2 linked regions of the Kluyveromyces lactis genome follow. The protein of the gene in region 1 interacts with the protein of each later gene in a pairwise test. Links are inferred from orthologs where the notes say so. Each region holds a gene or a part of one and is shown in the gene's direction. Other genes may lie near its edges.

What was found.
Region 2: the proteins of NCS2 (region 1) and URM1 interact in binary tests that used the Saccharomyces cerevisiae proteins (3 or more experiments, as listed by UniProt). The link is inferred for Kluyveromyces lactis from reciprocal best matches to the Saccharomyces cerevisiae genes NCS2 and URM1.

The regions. Positions count from the first base shown.
Region 1 is NC_006042.1:2,234,942-2,242,118, reverse strand, and holds NCS2 (Ncs2p), read left to right. Parts: upstream 1-3,005; coding exon 3,006-4,397; downstream 4,398-7,177. Other genes in the region: protein channel TOM70, read right to left, coding at 1-1,665; COX23 (Cox23p), read right to left, coding at 2,331-2,699; DCP2 (decapping enzyme complex catalytic subunit), read right to left, coding at 4,504-6,936. UniProt on the Saccharomyces cerevisiae protein: Plays a central role in 2-thiolation of mcm(5)S(2)U at tRNA wobble positions of tRNA(Lys), tRNA(Glu) and tRNA(Gln). May act by forming a heterodimer with NCS6 that ligates sulfur from thiocarboxylated URM1 onto the uridine of tRNAs at wobble position.
Region 2 is NC_006040.1:1,211,170-1,216,265, reverse strand, and holds URM1 (ubiquitin-related modifier URM1), read left to right. Parts: upstream 1-3,827; coding exon 3,828-4,133; downstream 4,134-5,096. Other genes in the region: telomerase subunit EST3, read right to left, coding at 1-537; KLLA0_D14201g (2-isopropylmalate synthase), read right to left, coding at 1,188-2,939; NAS2 (Nas2p), read right to left, coding at 4,189-4,944.

The DNA.
Region 1 (7,177 bases):
AGCATCTTCGAACAATTGAATGGCATCATCAATTTCTTCTTGTTGCAATTTTAGTTGAGCAAGACCGATCTTGGCTTGTTCGGATCTTGGATCGATCTTACAAGCTTCTTCAAATAATTCGGAAGCTTCAACGAAGTTTTCAACGGTTGGGTTTCTAATCAAAGCAGTGGCCTTACCAATCATTGGAGCAATACCGACGTGAATACCTGGTAAAGCATCTTCCAACTTGATGGCAATATCGTATTGCTTGATGGCAGCATCTAGAGAGTTCTTAGCAGCCAAAATTTCGGCATAAAAGTTTGGAACTTCTGGAGCAGTTGGGAACTTTCTTCTGGCTTCGCTGAACAAAGTTTCACAATCATCAAATCTATCGTCACGGAAAGCCAAGCAAGCACATTGGATGTAGGCAAAAATGTTTTCTGGATTTAATTCCTTAGCCTTATCGAAATCGGCACCAGCTTCTTTGAAGTTTTCAACAACAAAATGCATTTGACCGCGATGATAGTAAACAGCAGAGCAGTTTGGATCTAATTCTAAAGCTTTGTCAAAGTATTCCTTGTATTGGTTGGCTTCACCCTTGTCAGCCATAATCAAAGCCATGTAGATGTAAGTAGAAGGTCTTGGGTTCAAAGACAACGATTCTTCCAGGTTAATATGCGCGGTAATTGGATCATTTTTGAAGAACTTGAAAATACCCACATGTTCGAAGGCGATGGCAGCCTTCTTCTTCAAAGATTCATTATCTGGAGAAGATTCTAATTCTTTCTTGTATAACTCGGCAGCCTTGGTGAATTCTTCATCAGCCAATTCGTAACATCCGGTTTGACATTTGTACAAGTTTTCCAAACCTTTTTTCAACTCAACATCTGCTTCATTTTCGCCATCGTAATCATCGAAAGAAGTTTCAGGGTTGAAGATACCGAAGAATGATGCCAAAGAGGTGTTAGATGGTAATGGAGATTCTTTACCCTGGTTCTCCTTCAATTTTTCACCCAAGACCTTTGTGGCTTGTTTGTTCATGTTTCTTTCCAGCAGTTGCTCCACGGATTGACCGCTGTATTCACCCAACAAAGAGACAGCCGACAAGTCAAACATAGCATCGGAGAATTGGCCCAAGTTTTCATAAGCACTAGCTCTTCTCAACCAACATTTGGAGTAATCAGGCTTCAATTTCAAAGCGGCAGTGGTATCTTCAACAACTTTTTCGAAATTGTTAATTGAGACGTATGCAGCAGATCTGTTGGAGTAAAACACTGGATCCTCTTTCAATGAAATAGCTAAGGTATAATATTCAATAGCCTTTTCGAAATCCTTGGCCTTAAAGAATTCATTACCCTTGTCCTTCAACGCCAAAGCATATTTGTCAACTTGTTCTGGAGTAAACTCATCCTTCTTAGACAAATCTGGTTGACCGTTAGCGTCTACTGGATAAACGACATCAGAACCGTTTGATGAAGAAGACGAATCCTTCTTCTTCTTCCCGGCCCTCTTCTTCTTTTCACTCTTGGAAGTCTTCTTACTACCACTGGAACCAGAACCCAATTCTGCCCTCTGCAATTGGTTATAATAATAATAAGCACCAATAGCAGCACCACCGGCAGCAGCAGTTGCCAAGATGGCGGTCTTGTTACGAGTCACAAATGAACTCACAGAATTATCCGACATTTTCCTTTTTTCCTTTCAGTATTCAACAAACCAAAATAAAGCGTCTTGATATGATTCTAAATTTCTTTCACTAAATCCTATATCTCAATCAATGAAAATCTGCTAGATCCTATTGATGCTTACTACTGAGTGTTATTTCCTGAGGCTTTCGTTCGTCCTGTTCCATACAATAGCTCAATGTTTACAAAACTTTTTATATATCATAATTAATTTTGCACTTTTCTACTTTTTTTTTCGATTACGGAAACTTCTTACCTATGGGAATCTCTGATGCTGCTCGTAATAATCCGTATTTGTGTTTGATCGGAATGGGAAGCTGCATTTTTTTTTTTTTCGGTTTGGGATCTGGAATATTTTTTGGGTCGAAATCTTTACATGTGGGGTCCGAAACCATGTTTTGGAGGGAGCGCGAGTCGGATTCCAATAGTTAGGAGCAATGGAGAATATTCGGAAAGACGGGTAATATCAATTCCTTTATGTCACGTGATCTGTACTTTCAACTTGTGTTATTATTTTCTTTTTTTGTTTATTCAGGTTCCGTTTGTTAGCTTATGTCGTTCAATATGGGAATGGAGGATCATGCTCATTATCAATAAATAATTCATGCTATTGATTAGAAAGTTACTTCTCATTAAGTACGCTATTTACATGCAGATGTGGTTGAATTATTCCCAAAATTCTCTTTTCTCTCTTCTGGCCTTCAACCACTGCTTTTTACACTCTCTGTAAGCGTCGAAATAGTCATGGCATAGGTCTCTGTCGTAGTTGTTTAATTCAAGGCACTTGAAAGACATTTTAGATGATTCCTGGCATGGGTCGTAGTATTCAGAAGCACCTTTCACTGCAAATCTGTATCTGTTCAACGTAGATTCTGGATCATCAGGATAGAACTTGTAGGTGTTGACATCAGTCTTTTCCGGTGTAAAATTGACCTTAGTCTTATTGAGTTCGAGACTGGGGTCGACGTTCTCTGCCACCTTTTCAGGCTGTTGCAGCTTTTCAGCTGGTTGTGTTGTTTCTTGTTTATCGGTCATTTGTTGTTAGTAAGGCAGTAAGTTGCTAGCTTGAGCCTTTTTTTTATTTTCCCCTTTACCAGTAACTCATCTGCTACTAGTTCATCTGGATTCATTTTAACATTTCAATATTTTACTATGGTTTTCAGAACTCCAAAATTTCTAGATTGAAATTTCATGTTAACAACCACAGTGAAATGAAAATAAAAAAAAAAAAAAAAGAAAATCAATCTCATCTCATCTCATCTCTTAATAGTAACTAGTCACTGAATCAAATAAAAGCCTGTTAATACGTGCTTGCAAACCTTATCGCTGCGTCCAACTATCATGGTCATTTGTAAAAGGTGTAAGCTGCTGGATGCAACTCTAGTCTCGAGAAAAGAACCATTTTGTGATGAATGTTTCGTGAAATTTATTTCTTTGAAACAGAGGAAGCAGATGATGTCTGATGACTACTTCCAAGATATATTCAAAATCTCATATCCAGATAAGAAACGTGGTCAGGCAGAAGCTGATAAGCAAAATCAAGATTCCAATGTTCTCGTGCCGCTTTCTTTGGGATCCTCTTCTTTGGCAGTTTTAGATATCTTGAACGATACTTTGTTGGAGCAGAAACAAACACACCGGGGAAAAACTGGATTTCACGTAGAAGTAATCACGATTTGTGGACAGGCAGAGTTTGAAGAAGTGCGCGGTAAGATTGAACTTCTGAAATCAAAATATAAAGAAAACTCCGATAAGATTCTGTTCCATATTGTTGACAGAAATCAATTCTTTGCCGTGCCGTTTGATCTGCAAGAAATTACACTGTACATTGATAACTTCAACACTCTGGTAAGATCATCAAATAATCCAAGTACTACTGTAGAGAAAGTGCTTGCCAGCGCGCCTAACAAAACAGCGAAAGAAGATCTTTTGAACATTATTTATACCCATTTGATTAAGAAATTTGCCTTACAAAGAAATTTCAAAGCCATCTTATGGGGTCACTCGATGACAAAGTTAGCTGATGAAGTCATTAGTCTGACTGTTAAAGGACGTGGTGCAGAAATCGCAGGTTATCTTGATGATTCTTCCCTCGATAGTAAATATAATACCGCCTTCAGAAACTTTCATCCAGGCCGGGACGTTTTACTGTCAGAAATTGATGCTTACTGTCATATAAAAGGGCTTTCGCAATTCTCTCATAATTATGTTGTCCAGGACACTTTGTTTTATGACAAATTTGTGGACAAGCCTACCAAAAATGTCAAACTTATCAAAAATATGACGATGAATGAACTCGCGAGACAGTATTTTGATAACATTGAAGGTGATTACTCAAACGTGATATCTACAGTTGTTAGAACAGGTGCAAAATTATCTAACCCTGATAATGAACTAAATCAAATCATGCACTGTAGTATTTGCAATGCCATTATTTATAAGAATCCAGTAAATTGGCTTGACGGTATCACAGTTAGCAAGCCATTTGTGATTCATAATGAGGAAGAACTGACCAACTACAATGCCTGGGAGGCAGCTAATCCAGACAAAGCCGAAAAACTAAACAAAATGAGTGATACTCCTGCCAAGAATGTAGGCGTGTGTTACGGTTGTATTACCACTCTAACTGGCATGAAAGATAGAAAGTTAGAGTGGATACGAAGAGATGATAAAGCAGAACTAACAGCGGTTCTTCAAGAGTATGAAATCCCATCAGATGATTCTGAACAATAATAGATTTAGCTCTTTCAATTATACAGCTGAACTATCAAAATATTCCTTAGATGAAAAGTCTCATATATAAATATATGTAAGTGAAATTGCGAAATGCTGTAATGTCTCATCTTTTCAAGATACTCAATAATTCAGATGAAGGGTTGGAAGGAGTTTCTTGAACAGGAGCATTTGGCTTGTGTAATATATTCAAAAGTTCTTGCTGTTTAGTAAAACCTTGGTTTGGTGCAGGTTGTCCCATGTTAAGTGGCTGAGGTTGCATAGGATATCCATTAATCGGTTGCTGATATTGGAATTGCTGCTGAGGAGAGAAGCCTTGGGGAATATATGACATATTTTGGGGAGGATAACCTGGAGGTGGCATCATTTGCTGCATTTGCTGCATTTGGAAAGGCTGTTGAGGCTGTACTTGCAGAGGAGGCATCCTATTGTATTGGGTGTTGTGTGTCACAGGATCGTCCGATATTTGCGAGTTTAGGCCGGTCTTGGGATTCTTCAATATATTAAGCAATTCATTTGAGGGTTTGCTTGCTGGAGAAAGGTCTGATATTGGACTTTGAGGTTCACTGTTCTGTTGTGGTCTTTTCAGTAGTTGCATTAAGTCGCTTGCATCATTTTTAGGAGATGGTTCGTTTAGTGCAGGTGAGGCAGTAAACTGCTTTGAAAAATTAGAACCATTACGGTCGTTATTGGAAGAAGTATGATGTTCCACTGAAGCGTTCGAACTACTACTTTGACTATTCTCAAAGGTATTAGTGAATAAAGGAGACGAAGCGGCGCCTGGTACTTCTGATCTCGATGGTTTCTTCAATATGGACAATAAATCATTGGCTACACTTCTGTTTGAATGTGTCTCTGAATCGTTTATCTTTGGTTGGTCCTCTGATGGCTTCTTCAAGATTGACAATAAGTCGTTGGCTGCATTTTTGTTTGAAGTGGTTTCTGTATCGTTTCGTTTCTCAGAGACTGCTTTAATAGATTCATTGGAGGGAGACTGTGTGGCTGATGCCAATGTGTCACCACGCCTCAATAATCTGATTTTTGGCTTCACGGTTTGAGATTCAATATTATTAGCCTTATTTTGAGATTCCGGACGTTTCAAAAGTATAGGTTTTTGATTGTTTGTGGCACCTTGCTTTGTTTCAGGTTTGACAGGTTTTGAAGGTTGTGTTTCTTTCACACTTTTGGGTTCTTTCACTGTTAATAACTCATCATCTCTGTTGGGGTCCCATTCCGTGTCAGAATGACCAAGTTGTTCTTGAGAGCTTTCGTATTGACTTTCGTCAGATGAACTTTCGAATTCCTCGTAGTTTTCATCATCAGTGAACTCCGTGAAATGAGCAGATGGGAATGACGAAACGCTATCACTGCCTGAAATTTGTCTTTCCTTGTCATTGACAGTAGAACTTTTGTGTAAAAATGCCAGTAGTTCTTTGCTAGAGGCTTGTAAATCAGTATTTTGTTCCGTAGAATACGATTTTTCGTGGTCCAATTTATTATTTCCAGTGGTATTTATCGTCATACCGGTACCATTGACAATGTTATTATTGGTGTTATTACTGGAAGAAAAGTGAGAAACAGATTGGACGGACATAAGTGGAAACAAGCTACGAGCTTGATTCACATCAACCACAGGGTTTTCCGCAACATATGTCTCGTTTCTGGCTTGATGTTGAGCTGTTTTTGCAGATTTTTGTAGCATTTCCATCAACTCACGACCTGCGTCAAGCACGATCTTGTTCTCCTTCTTATTCAATCCTAAAATGGATTTCAAATGTTCCTCGGCGTATAATTTCAATTTATTTTCATCCTTGGCCCTCTTTTCGTTTTTAACGTATAAGGACAACGGTCTAATCATGGAATTGACCAAGAAAACTTTGGCACTGCCTTCATTCTTGGTGATTGCCTTGCTCAATTTTTTGAAATCTTTCCATTCAATGGCTTGAATTTCATTTTTGTGTTCTGGTTTAAACTCAAAGTCTTCAGGTACACCTTTCACGAGAAAGATTTTAAAGTTTTTACCATTCATGTTCCGTTCAACGTATTGATCAGCATCAATGAATCCGGTTAAATCGAAGCCGGTCTCCTCTTTAACTTCCCTTATGCAGCATGCGACGTCATCTTCATCTTTACCAATTTTACCTCGTGGGAAAGACCAGTGTTTTGAATTGATACCTCTCAACAATAATATCTTTGACAAACTATCGTTGAATATAGCGGCTCCCCTAACGGGAATGGTCTTCTTATAATTTGAAAACTTGACAAGTGCATTTTCTGGTGTGATATCCCAGTTCCAAATCAAAGGACAGATGTCTATGACGATCTTGGAGAAGCTTTTAATGCTTAAATTGGGCAAATATGGGTTCATTAGTTTAACGAAATCAGTGTAAAACCATGAGGCTTCTTCAAAATGGAATAGAACCCGCTCAACTGTTGATAAATCTTCCGGGGGAACATTGAGAATGAATCTGACAACAAGGTCTTCGACTGCATTCTCCAAAGAAACAGTCTCAAACGGACGTAACAACGGTAATGACATATTTCAGTCTAATTTAAATGGTTAATGGTACAGTGTTATCTTGGAGAACTTTAACGAGAAGGAATGAGATAGTGTCTTTAAAGTAATTCTATCAAAGGTATTCTTGTTACTTTCCTTTTTTTATTGCAATGAGCAAAACCTATCGTGGTGCGTAATGCAGTAGTCACGTCTATAATGAGCTTTTTGGTGGGTGTTTCTGTTCCTTCCATTTCAATACGCACACATTTCTAATACTAAAGTA
Region 2 (5,096 bases), on another chromosome or scaffold:
ATATACCCATTCAAATTGGACATTGGACGAGATCTGGTCTCTGTCAAACATCCGGGCCTTTTCAATCTTGAGCACGGGGACCATTCGAAGTCCAGGAAAATCCTGATTGAACCATAATTTGCACTCTCTGTGGTTCCAAAACTGTAGGGTTACATTGCCGATGACGAACAACGTATTCAGTGTATTCAATGTGATCCTATCATTGTTTATAGTTTCGTAATCTAGCACGCAGTCTACAGTGAAGTAGCATAGAATTAATGCTGTAGAGTCTCTAATCGTTGCATAAACGGTGTAATCGTTTACTCTATGGAATTTAACAATTCTGACGAACCTCTGAGGTGCGGGATTCAAAGCCGTTTGGAAAGCTGACTCTATGATATCATGTTCTAGTAAGTCCGTTACCAGTTCACGTTGTTCTGGCCAGAATTTCGTCTTTTCATTCTTTAAATAATAAGGCCTTACCGAAGGTTTAATCCATTCCTGCAAGAACACTGAATCATTATTCGTTAATCTTGAAGAAAGTACAACATTGGGCATGTGAGGATTGATAAGGTTAGAGTCTCTGTTCAGTGTATGTTAATAATGCTTCTCTGTTTCTGTACTACAATGGGTTTTAGGATGAGATTGTACCTTGATACAAAAATGTAAAAAAATTCCTCCGCGACGGGGAATTGAACCCCGATCTCGCACGCGACAAGCGCGAATTCTAACCATTAAACTATCGCGGAATAGTAAATTCGATGAGAGTTTATTGGACAAAATCATAATCCACGTGGCAAAAGTAGTCATGTGACTAGCTATGCAAAAATGTTAAAAAATGAAACGGACAGGAATTGAACCTGCAACCCTTCGATTGCAATTTTGTTTCCTTGGAAAATTCCCAGAATTTAACTGGAGTCGAAAGCTCTACCATTGAGCCACCGCTTCATTCTTGAAACATTTACGACAAGAATAGAATATAACCGACTTACTTTTGTCATGTAAAAGGGGCCACAGATGACACAATAGGTTCTGGTAAATATGCTTTACCCACGAGCATGGCCATAATAGAAGAAACATGGGAATGCCTTTGGAAGCTTTTGTTCATGTTTCATTATTGAAATAAATATCGGTATATCTCATTGATTTATATATATATATATATAGTTCAGATATGATGGCGTTTATTTCCATACCGCATGGGTAGATCAATTGGCAGCTGAATTGACAGTGAAGTTCTTTGCCCTATCAAGACCGTTTATACAAGATAACAACGCCAAGAATGAAGCCAGAGTAGTATCCTCATGAATACCAACACCCCATTGAACAAATCCTTCATGAGAGACAGAGATATAAGTAGCAGCTCTCGAATCGGAACTCTTACCCAAGGAATGCTCATGATAGTTTTTCACATCAAGATTAGTTTTGAAGTTTTTATTCACAGCATCGATGAAAGAAGAGATTGGACCGTTACCAGTACCTTCCAAATCCCATTGAGTAGTTCCATCTGATAGCTGCACCGAAAGAGTGAAATTCTCCGGAGATTTGTCATATTTATAGTCGATAAACTTGAATTTACCAGTAGTTGAATGAGATCCAACGAAATACGATTTCTCGAATAAAGAGATTAGTTCATCGCTCTTCAACTCTCTACCGACTATCTCAGTTTCATTTTGAACGATCTTAGAGTATGCAATTTGTAGATCTCTTGGTAAATCTAGCTCCAAGTTCTTTAGGATAACCCAAGAAGAACCACCTTTACCTGATTGCGAGTTGACTCTGATGATAGCCTCATACGTTCTTCCAATATCCTGAGGATCCAAGGGGAGATATGGCATTTTCCAAGGTACCACTGCATCTGGACCCTCTTTTTCTTGTAAAGCCTTAACCTTGTTGTCGTATTTTTCGAAACCCTTTTTGATGGCATCTTGATGAGAACCACTGAATGCACAAACGACAAGTTGTCCTCCGTAGGGTGCTCTAGCATGCACGGGAATCTTATTACATTTCTCAACGACTTCAATAATAGAAGCCATATCGGAGAAATCGAGGTTTGGAGATACACCCTGTGTGTAGAGGTTTAATGCCAAGGTAACCAAATCAACGTTACCGGTACGTTCACCGTTACCGAAGAGACATCCCTCGACACGATCTGCACCAGCCATTTGAGCTAATTCTGCAGCTGCCACAGCACACCCACGATCGTTATGTGGATGGAGAGAGATACATACTTTCTCACGTTCGGAGATACTTTGAGCGAAATATTCGATTTGGTCAGCGTACACGTTTGGTGTAGCCATCTCGACGGTAGCTGGCAAATTGAAAATGATTGGATTATCTTCAGTGGGTCCCCAAGCAGCCTTAACAGCTTCACAAATCTCTAGAACGAAATCCGGTTCACTATCGCTGAACGTTTCTGGAGAAAACTCAAATGACCAATGGGTATCTTGTCTATCCGGATGGTCTTTTGTCAAGGACCTAACAAGTTTGGCACATTTCACAGCCTTTTCAATACTTTCTTCATGAGACATATTGTTGAAAACGATTTCTCTGAAACATGGTGATGTCGCGAGATAGATATGTACAATGGCTCTCTTGGCACCGACCAAAGATTCAACGGTACGTTCGATCAAGGGTTCACGACATGGAGAAAGAACTTGAATGGAAACGTCTTCTGGTACGTTTTTCACTGCATATTGAGTGAATTGGAAATCGATATTAGAAGCACTAGGGAAAGCAACTTCAATCTCTTTGAAACCCAATTCGCATAACTTATCGAGCATCAGTTTCTTCTCTTCCAAATTCATCGGGTCAGGTAAAGACTGATTCCCATCTCTTAAATCGGTAGCTAACCATCTTGGAGCCTTATTAAGGGTTTTACTAGGCCATTTCCTGTCCTGTAATTTGACGTTGCTAACGAATGGTTTATACTTCACTGAAGGATCTTTGTAGAATGGCATCTTGCTCTAATGACTCTTTACTTCTCTATGTGCCTGATGGGTTTTCCTTTTTAATTACCAACCAAATTAAGGTGGTATGAATGATTTCAAGTTTTGAATGTATGTATATATATATGAATCAATGTTAGCAACACATCATCAGCTTTTTTTTATTACTCATAATGCACTTGGCAAATCGTTGATTAACCTGATGACATTTTCTTTCCCTTTGCAGCTTGACTGACTCATTTACCCTGGTCATCCATAATCAAAGTCTAAGAAATATCAACCGGTTTGCAGGTACGCTCATCTGCAGAGGTCTGTCTGTGTTACTCAGCAATTTTCTCGATGCCTTTAAAAATTTTTCAGAGTCATCACCATAGTATGGAAGAAGGGAACGGAACGGAGCTGGAAGTGACAGAGAAATCGATGGAAGAATGGACAATTTGTTGGAGAGGGAATGCCATTTTTGTGTGAGGTGTATATCCTGCGGTTGGGTAACTAACTATACGGTATAGTTGGTACTTTAGTTTTATTTGGTATACTCGGTCCCGTGACTTCTAAAGGAAAGCTATGAATGAGCAGAAAAATGGGAAAAAATGAGAAAAAAATAAAGCACTCACGGTGGGGGTCGAACCCACAATCTTCTGATTAGAAGTCAGACGCGTTGCCATTACGCCACGCGAGCATATTAATTGTTATTGAAGAGAATTTGGGGATTGGTGTACCGATCGACCTGACAAAGTCATTTCCACCCGATTTTTTTTTTTTGTGAGTTTTCCCTCTCAGCAGAAACCAAGGACCCAAGAAATATAATGATGAGCTTTGACATGTCACTACTGAGATACTGATTAAACATCACATACAGGTCAAGGTCAAACTAGGACATATCAGATAAATTAATCCACAATGGTCAGAGTTATTATTGAATTTCTAGGTGGATTGGATGTTATTGTCAAGAAACAGAGACAATATAAAGTGGATGTTCAACTGGATGGGAAGGATGAGATCAATGTCGGAGATTTAATCCAATGGATCGTAGATAACCTTATTGAACATGAAGGTGACGTGAATGTTTTCTTAGAGAACGATAGTATCAGACCAGGAATTTTGACTTTGATCAACGATACCGATTGGGAACTTGAAGGTGAAAAAGAGTACGTATTGGAAGACGGTGACGTTGTTTCGTTCACCTCAACGCTACACGGTGGATGATCTGGAAAAACTGCCGAGATGTTGAATATATATGCATTATATGCTGTCCTCTCATTCAAATTTGTATTATCCTGCATCCTAGTAACCCTGCGCCTTGCCAGGACCTAGGTACCAACTGTATAGTAACGATATCATTATTTCTCTTTATCTTAAGTACGATCTCTTCATCTATACGAGTTTGAACAAGTTTACCGATATTGGATAGATTATTGTGGTTAAGGGCATGTACGGTGCCGAATTTAATGATAAGATCATCTGTTTGTAATCCTGCGTCATGACTTGGAGATCCTAATTTTACGTCCACCACTTTTGCAAAAGCGATCAAAGAATCTAGATTTAGATCTGAATCCTCGTTGCTATCTCCCATTTCAAGCGTCTGCATCTTTCCTACAGTTGCGTTTTGCTTATTAAGCGATTCAAATTCAAGTGGCAATAGATACTCGACTCTTTCGATGATTCGTCTCAAATCGTTTCTCAATACGTTTACGTTACGTTTAATTAACCGTATAGTGACTAGATCCAAATCACCGCGGGGAAACCCCTCAGCGGTAGTCAAGGGGGTATTCATATCAACTTTGTGGGCTGATAAATTATCGAACTGGTTCGTCAATTCATCTTCCACTTCTTTCTTCAATTGTGACGCTTGAGAGAAGTTTAGATGTGGTAATTCGTTGATTCGTTCCGTCAAACCGGTAGGAATGATAGTGATTTCATTGCTCACTGCAGCTTCTAATTTATTCATTGCGTTATCAGGTTTACCAGTATATGGCTTGAGTTTCCCAACCTGTTGTCCCTTATCATTGTTGATCATGTTTGAATGAAAGCAGAGCTTGGGGTTTAATTTTTTTTTTAAAGGATTTCTAATATGTAAATAAGGATCTGGTTCTAAACAATAAAGTATATAATATAGTAGAAGTAGTAAAAGTGAAATAATAGTGGTTGTTATAGTAAGATATGTTCAAT